Linked DNA regions of Neurospora crassa OR74A. The protein of the gene in region 2 purifies or fractionates together with the protein of the main gene of each other region. This does not show direct contact. Links are inferred from orthologs where the notes say so. Each region holds a gene or a part of one and is shown on either strand. Other genes may lie near its edges.

The links.
Region 1: the proteins of NCU01318 (region 2) and NCU01741 purify together in Saccharomyces cerevisiae (affinity purification with western blotting; 4 studies listed by BioGRID, with this or other methods). This does not show direct contact. The link is inferred for Neurospora crassa OR74A from reciprocal best matches to the Saccharomyces cerevisiae genes SEC23 and BET1.
Region 3: the proteins of NCU01318 (region 2) and NCU04063 purify together in Saccharomyces cerevisiae (affinity purification with mass spectrometry; 5 studies listed by BioGRID, with this or other methods). This does not show direct contact. The link is inferred for Neurospora crassa OR74A from reciprocal best matches to the Saccharomyces cerevisiae genes SEC23 and SEC13.

What each region holds. Positions count from the first base shown.
Region 1 is NC_026502.1:2,582,096-2,586,605, forward strand, and holds NCU01741 (SNARE complex subunit), read right to left. Parts: upstream 2,976-4,510; 5' UTR 2,761-2,975; coding exon 2,747-2,760; intron 2,139-2,746; coding exon 1,814-2,138; intron 1,716-1,813; coding exon 1,509-1,715; 3' UTR 1,011-1,508; downstream 1-1,010. Other genes in the region: NCU01742 (hypothetical protein), read left to right, coding at 1-667; NCU01740 (histone H2A.Z-specific chaperone chz-1), read right to left, coding at 4,268-4,434. UniProt on the Saccharomyces cerevisiae protein: SNARE required for targeting and fusion of ER-derived transport vesicles with the Golgi complex.
Region 2 is NC_026505.1:3,643,605-3,648,298, forward strand, and holds the start of NCU01318 (protein transporter sec-23), read right to left. Parts: upstream 3,053-4,694; 5' UTR 2,736-3,052; intron 2,576-2,735; 5' UTR 2,373-2,575; coding exon 2,280-2,372; intron 2,214-2,279; coding exon 2,083-2,213; intron 2,027-2,082; coding exon 1,252-2,026; intron 1,190-1,251; coding exon 92-1,189; intron 28-91; coding exon 1-27. Other genes in the region: NCU01319 (hypothetical protein), read left to right, coding at 4,197-4,362, 4,427-4,507, 4,565-4,694. UniProt on the Saccharomyces cerevisiae protein: Component of the coat protein complex II (COPII) which promotes the formation of transport vesicles from the endoplasmic reticulum (ER).
Region 3 is NC_026506.1:2,621,434-2,625,658, forward strand, and holds NCU04063 (protein transporter sec-13), read left to right. Parts: upstream 1-1,848; 5' UTR 1,849-2,070; coding exon 2,071-2,073; intron 2,074-2,167; coding exon 2,168-2,215; intron 2,216-2,283; coding exon 2,284-2,399; intron 2,400-2,467; coding exon 2,468-3,215; 3' UTR 3,216-3,509; downstream 3,510-4,225. Other genes in the region: pex20 (peroxisome biogenesis factor 20), read right to left, coding at 1-737, 815-934; NCU04064 (hypothetical protein), read right to left, coding at 3,510-4,225. UniProt on the Saccharomyces cerevisiae protein: Functions as a component of the nuclear pore complex (NPC) and the COPII coat. It is one of 5 proteins constituting the COPII coat, which is involved in anterograde (ER to Golgi) double-membrane transport vesicle formation.

The DNA.
Region 1 (4,510 bases), on a different chromosome or scaffold from region 2:
AGCCAACGTGCGTGCCAACGAAGAACGCATGCGCGAGATGATGGCCCGCGGTGGTCTCCGGCCCACGCACGTCAATCTAACCGATGGCGCCGCAGACGAAGACGACGACGTTGACGAGGAAGACCAAGCTCACATGCTAGAGGAGGACGACATCATCGGCTCTCACAACAGCGGAGAATATGCGGACGAAGACAGAGGCATGACGGACGACAGTCTAGGCATGAACGCCAACCTAGATGACGACATTCCAGAGGCGGACGAGGAGCGTGCGCAAAGCGGTTTCTATGAGCATACCGATTCCGAGGCGGAGCTTCTTGACAGCAGTGATAACGAGGGAGGACAAGAGCAAGTCGGTACAGGTGCAGGCATCGGCATAAGCAGCAGTGGTAGCGGTGGTAATATGAGCGGCAGTCACAGACGCGCTCACCGGGTTAGCTACGGACCTGGTTCGGCAGCGGGATCAGCGCAGGGCCAGCATCGCCGCGTATCACTGCCAAGACAGCAGCAGCAGCAGCAGCAGCGGCTGTTGAGGACTAGTCTTGCGGGAAATGCCAGGCGGAGCACAATTGGAGCGCCAAGGAGCAGTCTGGATATCAGTGGGCTGTTGTCTGTTGATGAGAGTAGTCCCATGATGAGAAGCAGTCCAAGGGTGAGGAGGTTGCACTAGAATGAAGGTCCGCGGTGGTTCGGAAAGAGAAACAAGGGAGGATTAAAACTGAGGAGTTGTGGTAGGAACGGTCAGCAAGCATCATTCAATAACAGGTCGTTTGAGTCTGGCGCATGGAGTCTTGGGATCATGGCAGTATGGGTAGCTACTTGGTGGCTTGGGAAGCAGGATTGAATAGATAATGTCCGTCAAAAGACAACTTTGATCTTCGTTACAGCAATGGTCTGGTCTATGCAGTGGTAGTCTACACGCAGTTCTGATTAACTGTCTGTTATACGCTCAATGATTATCCACTTCACGTTTGTGGGAGCCCATATATAGCTTCATGATTGATCAGTGGATTAAACCAGATAATTGAACCTCATTGGTTGGAGAACGGATTAAGAATGATTAAAATAATTAGGTACCACAAAAAAACCAAAAAAAACCGACTTCTGATACTACCCGAACGACTTAACAAACGCGAACTCCCCGGCGCCAGCATGCAAAAACCAAGTCCGCCCGCAATCTACCAAGGGCAACCCATATCCATGCCTTTTCTATCCCACAAGGTAGTCAGCCACTTTGACCTAGAACCTTCCGTTTTCCTCATCATCCATTGGTATTACCCATCGTTAAAGCCATATATATACTATCCCATCTTTCCTTTGCATATATATGGTCTCTTTTCTCGTTTCCATCATTCTTGAACATATCGCTTTGCCCCGCGCAGCAGCAGCAGCAGCAGCAGCAGCAGCAGGAGGACCACTCCGCCGACCAACATATCCCTCCATCTTTGTCTTTTTCTTTTCTTTCTTTTTCTCTCTTCCAAGTTCAGAAAAACCTTGACCTTGGAAGGATACTAGAGATACCTCACGTAAAAAAAGAGGAACACCACGGCAGCGAAAAAGGCAAGCCACACCCTCCACCCGACATTGGTCTTCTGTGCCATGATGAGCATTCGGTTCATGGTACCACGGAGTCGGAGGCGGGTTTGGTCGAAGGATTCGTTCATCTTCTCGGCGAGGGCGGAGGAGTCTCGAATTTCATCGCCGATGGCTATAGTCATCTGTTTGTGGGGGAGGGATGGGGTTAGTTGATGGGTGGCTTGCGAGAGAAGGAAGTGGGAGAGAGGGAGGAGAGCAGAAAGAGAGAACAAAAACATACATCCTTCAAAATCTTGACTTTACCCATTATCCCTTCCACCTGCTCATCATTCTGGCTCTCGAGTTCGTTGAGGACTGCGTCGCTGTACTGGCCCCTTGAATTTGGAGTAGCAGGCCTAAACCCGCCCCGTTCCATCCCCAGTGTTGACGAGCTGCCGTTATAACTCCCACCGCCACCATAGCCGCCCCCGTACCCGTATCCGCCGCCACCGCCATACCTTGCTGGGCTGGCGTTGGCCGAGCGGCGCTCGGCTGCGCTGGAGCCAGAGTAGCCCTTGAAAAGGTCGCTGCGCGGGTCGCGCTGGTGTAGAGAGGAATGTGCAAATCTGTACTCCGGAGAAAAAGAAAAGCGGACTAATTGTTAGAAGGGTGTTGTCTTGTCTTGTTCGAAGGATTAAGGGGTTGGTGGGATGGGGGTTGTGGTGGGTGGTCAAAGTCGAATCGAGGACGACCCGGGGGCATGGTGGATGGATCGAGTTGACGCTTTCGGTTTCGCTGTCATTCTCGCTCTCGTCGCCAGTGCTGCTGTGGTTGCGCCGCTGTTGCGACTGCATCACATCACGGTAGTGAACTCGTATCGTATCCTACCATGGCATGGTTGGAGGCGTGTTGGCGAGACTCTGAAACCAGAGCGATGACGTAGTTGAGGCCGTCGCGCCATGACCAGGGGGGGCAGGTCGAGAAATCGTGACTTGTCAAACCAACCACCATAACATCGATAGCTGCTGCCTTTGGTCCGCAGATATCTTCCGGTGGCAATATCGTACACCCGTTCACCGGAGCCGGGCAGCTCGGTCGGCCGCTCGCTTCATCGCGTGTCGGTCGTGGGTTTGGTCGAGTTGACAGGCCAAGTCGCATTTCGAAATGTGAAAGGTGGCATTTGCGTGTGGTGTGGTGCAATGCTAAGACGAACGTACAAGAGAATCGCACTCACCTGGAAGCCATCATGGAGAGCAAATTTAGGTCGATCCGTCTTCGAGAATCCTGACAGGTAAATGCTAGCTAACTTGTAAGAGTGTGGGTAGGTATTAGAGATGATGAATTGGCAGGTTCCATAGAGGTAGCGTCGGGCGGGGGGTGTGCGGGTGGTGAAGAAAGAAAATAAAGTTGAATGCCCGTGGACCCTTGGCCGCCAGCGCCGGCAGATCCCCCTTTTTAGTTTGGGTGGTTGTTAGGCCTGTTCTGGCCAGATGTTACCTTGGTGCGCCGTCCATGTACATAAACTACAACGTCAGTCCGTGTCTGGGTGATACATATGTAATGGCTAAAAGGTACAATGTTGTTCGTGCCGCATGATGCTGACAAGGACACGTTGATTGAACATCTGGGTTGGTGTCACGTCTTCCTCTCCGAGAGAACTTGACACTATTTTCCCCAATGTATCTGGTTTTAATCATTCAATTTTTCTTTATGTCGGAGGGTTCATGTTCGGCGTTGTTCAAAGTCCCTCCGAGAGGTGCCCGTGTTGCTTCCACTGATATTGGCTAATTGGGCGTTCAGCGTCTCCATTCTTCCTCTACCTTTTTTTTTTTTTTTTTTTTTTTTTTTTTCTCTCTCAGCTTGTCGCGTCAGCAATAAGTTGATCCACGTTAGATTGCGCAAGGCGCATAGACTCAAGTATGGACTTATTGAAGCGAATCTAAGCCCAAATCCGAGACTTTCAGAATCGTTGAAGCTTTCCAAGTCGAAGGCATGCATTCTCACAGATGTTGGCGTCAAAGAAGCTGGTGTATGGTACTGCGTAGAATACCCGGTGGATCAGGCCAAGATCGCGAACCTTGTTGGTGGCTGGTGCGATGCTCCGGTTCCTGACGTCTGCTGTGTACTCCAGGAACAGGACCGATATCAAATCTCGATGGTCATAGCAACTCTAGAATTCGCCGGAATATTACCTTTTCATAGGTCAGCCGTAGACATATCACCCCCTTCAGGCTGCCTCGCGGTTAGTTTAGTGGCACCCCATCTCAACAGGCCAACTGCCCTTGAGCTGACAGGGGAATCATCCAATGTCTCCACTTATGGGGGTTAGGTTAGTGAAGACAAGCGATCAAGCGTATTCTGATACACCAACGTACGTAGTATGTTGATACTTTGAAATTGGCTGACAGAAGAGATCGGTCTACCTGAACTGATAAACGAATGATCACTTACACCCTTATCATGTATTGCCAAATTCTGATTGTGGGAACTCCCAACGCATTGAACCAAACAACCCCAGGCCTTATAGCTGACATTCACGTACATAAATAGGTCCAGCCAATCAGGCTTAGCAATCAGCCAAAAGACGGCTTACATCTCCAAGCTCGTGATCATCATAAAACTCAACCACTGGCAGCGAGCAAAGCGCAGAGCCAACGGGGAAACCCAGGAAGAAAGAAAACAAGAATCTGTTGTCATTGTTGTTGTTGTTGTTGTTGTTGTGAACCATCAAAGGAAATCAGAAGATAGCCTCGGACTACTCCTCCATTTCCTCATCCTCGGGCACAAACTCCTCGTCGTCCTCCTCATCGTCCTCCTCGGCAGGCAAGTCCTGAGCGGCCTTGGCATAGTCGATCTCCTTCTGGCGAGTGCGGGGACCACTGATCACATTGCTGGGGTCGATCTCCTCGAGGTTGTCTTCCTCTGTTTTTGTTCATGTTAGTTCCTGTACGTAAGCTGTTGCTGCGCGATCGTCACCCGTGATTGGGCGTTGGCTGAT
Region 2 (4,694 bases):
GAGAGGGAAACGGTCGGTAATAAGATCCTGTACACGGTCAGAAAAAAAGCCCCAACATAATTCGATCAGAGATGAACAGGAGACAACTTACCCTTGCATCTTCCTTGGGCTGCTCCAAAAGCGCAGCAAAGTTCTCGTATCCCTCTTGGTCTTGGTAGCCGGCCTTTCTCCATTCCGCAATCGTCTCACCATGGAAGATCAGAATGTGGAAGAAGGTATCGAGCAGGAGGATGTGGGTAGGCTGAATGGAGGTAGAGTCGAGCAGAACGGGGACACCGCCTTCTTGGTCGAAGGTGTAGGAGTCGAGCGTTGGTTGAATCATGATGAGCGAGTTACTAACATCCTCATGGTTGAGAACGTGCCGATAGAATGCGGTCTCATCGGGAGAGTTGTTAAAGACTTGCAAGAACTGACTCCTACGCAAGTGGAACATGAACTGTGGGTACAGCGTGAAGTTCTTTTCCAAGCGGAACGATGACGGGTCGTCCTTGCGGTAATCGGCAAATCTGGCGCAGAGCCTGATGAGCATGCGGTCAACCCACCGGAGCACATCAGGCCCATCGTCAACCTCCGCCTTGAAAACAGCGATACGCGACATAAGCACGGCTGCTGCCTCCTGGTCAAATGACTGCGCGATGGCCGGGTCTCCGGCGGGGCCGCTGAGGTTTCGGGCAATGGTGGTCACCCGAAGGTGGAAGTGGCCAGACGAGTGCTGGTAATAAGTCAAGAACTGCATCATTCCCTTTTGGGGACTCTGCATGTTCTGGGACGGGCCGCCTTGGTTGGCGATTTCGAAGTAGATACCGTAGCTGGAGCTGGGGTCGATACCGCACATCTTCCACGTGCAAGTGTTACCTATGCCGCACTCGGTTTCGCCGACGGACGTCGATTTTTTGTTGAGAGAGACTGCATGACCAATCAACCCAGTAACCTTGAGTTCCTTCGTTGTAAGTACTTCCAAAACCGCATTGAAGCCCATGAGCAGATTGTCATCCGCGTCCTTTTCGAAAATGCGGACGAATGACTGCTTGAACATGGATGAGGTGAAGCTGTCCGTCAGAATCATGTGGCCACCCGTCGAGTTGCACAGACCCTTCATTTCAAGTAGACCAACTTGATCAAGACAGCCGGCAAAAATGTCAATAGTGTGGCCGTTGTGCGCCGTTCGCTTAGCGAGGTTGTCGTAGAACTATAATAAATGTTAGCATGACACAGACTGTTTCCTGCACCACAACTTGAAGATGAACGTACCTTGAGTGCCTTCTTGTAATACTTGATGTTGTCACGGTCGATATCGTGATGGGAGCGGATCGGTTCCCTCAGCTCGGGGCCAACAACCATGCCAGGTCCCTCAGTGGCCGGACCACCAGCAAAGAGCATAATGCGACCACCGGCATTCTGGAACGACGTTTCGAGCAGGCCAACAGCTACGGACAACGCAACACCGGTGCAGCGCAAGGCTCTGAGGTTACCGGCAACAGGCCAGGGATCCTTCTGAAGCTGCTCAATGGCCTTGGTCAACTGGAACTCGGCCTGAGAGACCGGAAGCAAGAATCTTGAGGCAGGGCCGGCCGGGAAGGGCCTGCCAGGCTGTTGCATAGGCATGCCCGGACGCATGGCAGGTTGTACGAGCCCAAGCATCTCCTGGACCTGCTTGGCCGCGTACTCCTTGTTACCGCGGAAAACATATGATTTAGGGCACTCGGTATAGCCAATCTCGTGGACCTGGGCCATGGTGCCGTATGTAATCAGGCCGACAAGGGCGTGCTCGGGCAATAGGCTCAAGCTCATGATGAGCGACTCCTTGAGAGCAGCCAAGCTGTCCTCCTCCTGGCACGTATCGACGACATAGAGGAAGATCGGAGGGGCGGGGGCGGGCCGCGAGAGCCTGTACTCGATGGTAGTGTTGGAAGGGTGCAGCTCGGGTGGAATCGCATTTGCGGTGATGTCCTTGTAGTGTGGCGGGAGAGGATTCCTCGAGAGACAGAAGGGGCAGATCCACAGGCGGGCGCGCACATCGACTTGACTGGGCGAGGGTATCAGCAATGGGCGCGACAAGTCGGGGCGACGAAGATGGCTCACCAGTAGGGGTTTAACACGGAGCGGCAGGGCTGCTTGCAACTGACGGGGTCGAACTGCAGCAGAGGCGTGTCGGGCTTCTCCTTGAGAGGGGTATAAAGGGCGCCGATGGGGACGACGAGTCTCGAAGCTTCCTGAAGAAAGGGTCAGCGATAAAGGGGTGACGCGAAGTAGCAAGTATGCGAAAGAGCGGAACTGACCATGCGGGTGCTGGGGAAGACATTCCAGCTCAGACGAACGCCATCACGGTCCTCGACCTCGCCCCATTGCTCCTTGAGGGCTTCGTAATCCATGTTGATGTCGGCGGCGGCGTCCTCGGTCGATGGTCGCAGTCGGGGATAGAGAGGAACAGCTGGAGAGGGGTGATGGTGGTGTCGGCGGTTTGTTGGATTAGAAGATTAAGGGAATTAATGTGGATGATCCGTCGTCTACGCGGTGGTAGCTCCAGAGATAGGTACGGGGCGGGCGGCGGGCAACGGGCAACGTCGTCGGGCGGCTACGTGCAAGGTGTCATTAGCTCCGAGACCTGGAACGCACGAGACACTCGAGACATCCACCGTCCACCACACAGTCCACAGCAGCTGTCTTGCGGCAGGCGGGACCTGAGGCTAGATGTGGAAGCTAGGGGGAAAAGCGGGCTCCGTGCGAGTACATACCGCGGGGGGAGGCAATAAGGTATGGACGGGATCCCAGTTGTGGTGTGTCGCCAGGAAGATGCAACAACTGAACTGAAGAACCTCTTTTTCGACGCTCCTGAAAATTCAAGGTCCACTTTAAAGTGTTGACTGTCGTCCAGGAAGCCCTGCGCAAGATCACAGAGTTAACGACGCGCTGCTCTTCTGCAATCGGTCAAGTCGTTTGCGACAAGGTGATGGGATCAAAATGTTCAGAAATACCCCAATCGCTTCTACTGCAATGGAAGCCGACTGCAACAGGCGATAGTATCAATTTCTGATTTGCGGCTCTGTTGTCATTTGCTCCCCTCCAGTTGTTGAAAAGGACAGGTACCTCGTTCCCCTCCATCGAAAGGCAGGGGGCAGCTCTGCTGACAGACGACGGGAGGCTGCTTGCCAGCTGGTGCGTAGCCGACGAGCTGACGCCAATCACCACTTACCTCACCGTGCCACCGCGGCCGCCGTGGTAAACTGCATCTCCAAGCTGCAAGTTGCAACCTTTGTTCCGTCAGCACGAAATTGTCGGATGTACCAAGTGTTTTCCCGGTGCAGTGATGTTCCCGCGGCGTCGGATCATGAATGAAAAACAACATTGGCGAATCGCGACATCTCGACATGGAAATTGAATAGGTACCTATTCAGCATCGTATGCTTGCCCTCACCATCGACGCCTCGGGAGACGTCAAGCTTTGATTCCGTTACCCTTGGGCTCCAGTCATGATTCCGACCTGTGGCCGGCTGGCCGTTGAGTTTTGGCTAGCTCTGATTAGCCTGCTCGCATCTCTGTCCTAATGCTCGGTCTTGTGTCGATCCTACCACTCATGCCAGCATTTGGTGTTCTTCAAGAACCGTACCCTGCTCGCCCCATCCTGTTTCAGCCCACTGTGTCGAGCACGACCAAAATACCTTTTTGTGTTACCGTCGGGTTATCCTGAAGAATCCGCCTGTCGCGGGGGAACTCAATCAAACAACTCGCTCGCTCGCAGGCTCAGTCAGTCAAGCCAGCAGATGGTAAACTCGCGGCTGTGCTGCATCGCACAAACGCCCGCTCTCCGGTGATCACCCTCTCTGTTCTGAGCAGGCTCACTTTTACTTGTTACTCGACGAGTAGGGATCAGCCTTATCTCCTACTGTAGTGCTGACTTGATGCAACCCTTGGGTACGCTAAGATACGAAAGGGGCCGAGCAGCCGCCAGGTAGCAGTCAACAGGCACCATTGACAGTCCACGGTGATATTACCGTGGCTCACCTCTCCCGACCTCGTTTATAATTACAGTCGGATCCTATAGGATCATCACCTACCACCATGTCTCGATGGCGCTTCAGGGGAGCTAGCCCTTTTCGTGGGTAGAAAGCTGACACGCGTAGCATTTTGCTCAGAAATTTCTTCCTCCTCTCCCATTCTTCTCTTCTCTCTCTTGTTGCCCTCTGAAATCAGTCATCATGGTCAGGAGGTCGACTTCCCTTCTGTGCTGTGTAATACAGCCGTGGATTTGCCAGGCGGGTAGCACTATCACCCTACCCAAGGCAGATGAATCAATCATCCTTCCACGACAGGTTAACGGTGCTATCAGTCCCTCGACATTTCTGCGCAGAGGCTATCAATCGTGTGAGCATTGCCGTCATTGTCTTTTTCTCAGTGCATCATGACCATCTGGCTAATCGAACCAAAGCCGCGGTTTTAAACGGGCGCGTGTACATTGACGGCGGTGAGGTCTCGTACTACAGCGGTACTGACATCACCTTTCAATACTGTAAGACTCTCCACGCATTAACTCTTGAAACTATGGAATATCCTAACTCTTCCGTAGCGAACTCCCTGCTTTCTATCGATTTGTCCCAGGACTGGACAAGTGATTCAGTTCGGTTCGACTCAACATCCAAACCGCCCGGTGCCGCCAACCTCGCTGGCGGAGGGCTTTGGGTAGATGAGACGGATGG
Region 3 (4,225 bases), on a different chromosome or scaffold from region 2:
GTGGGGGGGCCGACTTTGGTGTTGTTCTCGGCGCTCGGACCGTGCTGCGCCATCCACTCGGCCTCGGCAGCCTCAAACTCCTGCTGAGCTTGCTGAGCCTTCTCGGCCTTTTCCTTCTCGGCCCACTCAGCAAGTTCTTGCTCAAAGGAAGACTCGTCGTACTCGCCAAAGGCTTTGTTAAAGGCTTCGATGTCAAGTGCCGACTCGACGTGGTCGTTGAGGCCGAACTGAGGCTGCTGATGAGTGAAGTTGTTCGTGGCTGTGCCATGCATGACAAAAGGATCGTCCATGGACAATCCCATTCCCATTCCCATTCCCGTACCCACACCCATTCCCATACCGCCGAACTGGCGAGTGTTGTAGGCCATATGGTCGTCCTGCAAGCCCATCATGGAGTTGTGGGTTGCAGTAGACATGGCTGCCGGCATGGCTTGAGGTGACATGGCCGGGGCCGCGTGAGCTGTGTCCTGACGGAGCTGCATGCTGGCGAACTGGTCGACCCAGCCGTGGGCAGCGGCACGGGAGGAGTGCATGGGACTGGCCGTAGCCGGCGCACCTCCGACCGCATGACCAAAGACACCAGGCGCTGGACCAGCATGAAAAGCCGGGACGCCTGGGTTGTTCAGGAACGTATTATTCGCAAGGCCGAGGGAAGGACCCGGGGCGTCGAGCATAGGGGCTTGCTGAAAGGTCTCAAAGGCACCATCAGCAGCGAAGGAGGGGCGGTTTCTGAAGGACTGGATGGGTTGTTAGCACCGAGTTACGCTGGATATTCTACGACAAGACAAAACAAAAGAAAGCGATCATATCATACAGCACCGGCAGCCGAGTTGGGCGAGTTGACCAGGCGGTCCTGGTGAAGAGTGCGGTCGCGATCAGCGTGCGCAAGAAGGTTCTTGGCACCGTTGGACGGGCCGCACATGCTGTCAGACATGTTGAGCGAGGTTTGACTTGTTGGAAGCAAAAAGGCGAGAAGCGCGGGTGACGGTAAGTTTCGAGAAAGAAATTACAAAAGTAGAAGGTTTTATAAATAAAGAGTGAGGAACGAAATGTCCTTGAAGAGAGTATATAATTATTGTAGAGCGAGGAAGACTTGGATGAGTGAGCGAAAGGAGAGTTGTAAGTTGTAAGTAATGTAGATTAGTGGCGCGAAAGTAGAAGCCGAGGTTCTTTGAACAGCGCGATAGTAGTCACCGAACCCGCCGGTATCTCAAGTCTTCAACGCTAAGTATTTGGAGAAAAGTAGTTGGAGAGGGGGGAAGATGGAAACGAGAAAAAAAAGAGTAAACAACGCCGGACCTAATACCACGAAAAGGACGCGACTGATTACTGTGTGTAAAGAAATCCTTTTAGCAAGCAAACAAAAAGCGTCGCTGATTTTGAACAAGTAATTCTGGAAGAAGGGTCAAAATGGTCAGGTCTGGTTGAGTGAGATTCCATCCCAACTTTTTGTGACGGGAGTGAACGCTGCCACGGCACTGGCGAAATTCCCGTCGGGGTAGCCATGCGCTCACACGCTATCATGTGCACGGCATGTTCAGTGGACTTTTACAGCGGGACGGGAGAGCCCAGGCGACGCGTGGGGTCGTCAACGGGCCCCTGCCTCACCTGCCCCACCTTGGTTGTCTCAACAAGAGTCCACTTCGAGCCTCCGACCTGGTTACAATAACGTCACACCACGGTGAGCCTACGAGGAAACCGACAAAGGCTCCACTCACCTTGCTCACCTTGCTCACCTTGACTTCTTGCCAGCTGGACCACATCGCTCGACAGGGATCACTGCGCAAGCGTCAAGTGGAAGCTCCAGCGCAGCAAGACGGGTTCACCTATCGTGTCGCCTGGGCGTCCACTGCCTGTAGCTTGCAGCTTCCATTCCCAATGCCCGTCCGTGGTGATCCAACTTAACAGCAACTGAATCCCCAACGACGGCCCTTTTTCCTTTCTACTACTCTGAGTAGTGTACTTTATAACTCCAGTCTGAATTCATTCATCACCCAAAGGACGCAAATACAACTCCATACAAATCTATTTGTCTTTTCCACAATCTTCAATACTCCATAATTAATCAACATGGTACGTCCTCTTACACCCCCAAAGCTGCCGGCGGCGTCCCTCCCCCTTACTTGGCTACCTATCCACTAACATGAAGCTATCGCGACAATGACAGACCGCAGGCGCACAGGTTATCGCCAACTCTGGCCACGATGATATGATTGTACGCTGAACATCGCCCCCTCGACGTTTCCCGACAACCATCCCTCTGTTTCTAACCGACCCTCGCAGCACGATGCAGTTCTCGACTACTACGGCAGGAGGTTAGCGACATGCTCCTCGGATCGCACCATCAAGATCTTCGAGATCGAGGGCGAATCACAGCGACTTGTTGAGACATTGAAGGGGTATGTTTGCGATGGGCTACAGTCACCAAACAATATGGACAATGGGTTAACCTCCCTTCTTCCGACAGACACGATGGCGCAGTTTGGTCCGTAGCATGGGCGCACCCCAAGTACGGCAACATCCTCGCCTCGGCAGGCTACGACGGCAAGGTTCTCATTTGGCGCGAGCAAGCCGGCAGCTGGCAGCGCATCTTCGACTTCGCCCTACACAAGGCTAGCGTCAACATCGTGTCCTGGTCTCCCCACGAAGCCGGATGCCTCTTGGCCTGCGCCTCTTCGGACGGCAACGTCAGCGTTCTCGAATTCAAGGATAACAGCTGGGAGCACAACATCTTCCACGCCCATGGCCTGGGCGTCAACTCGGTCTCGTGGGCCCCCGCCACCACCCCCGGCAGCATCGTCAGCAGCAACCCCGGCCCCGGCTCGACGGGCAACAGACGCTTCGTGACTGGCGGTTCCGACAACCTGCTCAAGATCTGGACCTTCGACCCCGCGACCAACGGATACAAGCTCGAGCGCGAGCCCCTGGCGGGTCATACAGATTGGGTGCGCGACGTTGCGTGGAGCCCGACTGTGCTTCAGAAGAGCTATATCGCAAGCGCCTCGCAGGACAAGACGGTGCGCATCTGGACGAGTGACGCGGCGAACCCGGGCGAGTGGAAGTGCAAGGTTCTCAACTTTGATGCGGCCGTCTGGCGCGTTAGCTGGTCGCTCAGCGGAAACGTGCTGGCCGCCAGCAGTGACAACAACAAGGTCACACTATGGAAGGAGAACCTTAAGGGCGAGTGGGAGAACGTCAAGACCATTGAGGAGTAAAATCACATGGGAATTCGGTCACGTTATGATGATGATGGGTGGCGAGCGTTAGCATAATATTGGTAGGTAGGATATCTACTCATCATCCAGAGTGGGCGTTATCGGGTAATAAATAAGGGAGGCCAGCGAAAAGGAGCAGGCTTACCTTCGGTTTCACAAGAACATATCCAGGTTGGCTTCACATGAACCGCTCGGGACAATGAAGAGATCATACCGAGTTTTATCTTACACTATCACATTACCTCGGGCTTACGGGGAGTACATTTGACCCAGTACATCCCACCTCCCAAGTCATCAACGCGCCTTATCCATCTTCTCTTCCAACCATCCCAACACAATCTCCCTTCCCCTCTCATCCAGATCCCCAACACCTTCCAAATCGCCAATCGCCATGTCCTGATCGTCCACCACGCCCACGTCCGCCACCTTGACCCTCCTCGCCGCCTCCAGCTCCCAGTGGTGGAGGTCGATCAAGTAATCCTCGTCCCACTTCCGCCGCTCTTTGAGTTCCAACATCTCAATGCTCCGCTGCATCAGCAGCGCCAGTTCGTACGCTTGCGTGCGGAAGCTGTTCTCGCCAGCGGTGATGGCGACCGGGGGTTTGCGGTGTTTTCGCGTTTTGAGACGAGGGCGGGGTTTCTTCTTTTCCTCTGCTTCGCCTTGTGCTGAGTCGCCCTCTTCGTATTTCTCTCCCTGGCCTTCTTCTTCTTCTTCTTCTTCCTCCCCCTTTATCTTCTTCTGCTTCTGCTTCTGAACACCACTAAGTCCCTTTTGATTTCTGTTCCGGGCCGCGGCATCAACAACCCCATCATCCTTCCCCCCCTCCGACGACCCAATCTTCGCCAAAGCATCACACTTGAACGGCAACTCCGCCGACGGCGTCTCATACAACAATAACGTATCCGGCAGCTTAAGCATGGAGTGCCTCGGCGGGAAATGCACATAGCTCTTACGTGGGAACTTGCCAGGTAGAATCTCTACCTTGAGAGTTTGTTGGAGCATGTCTTCGG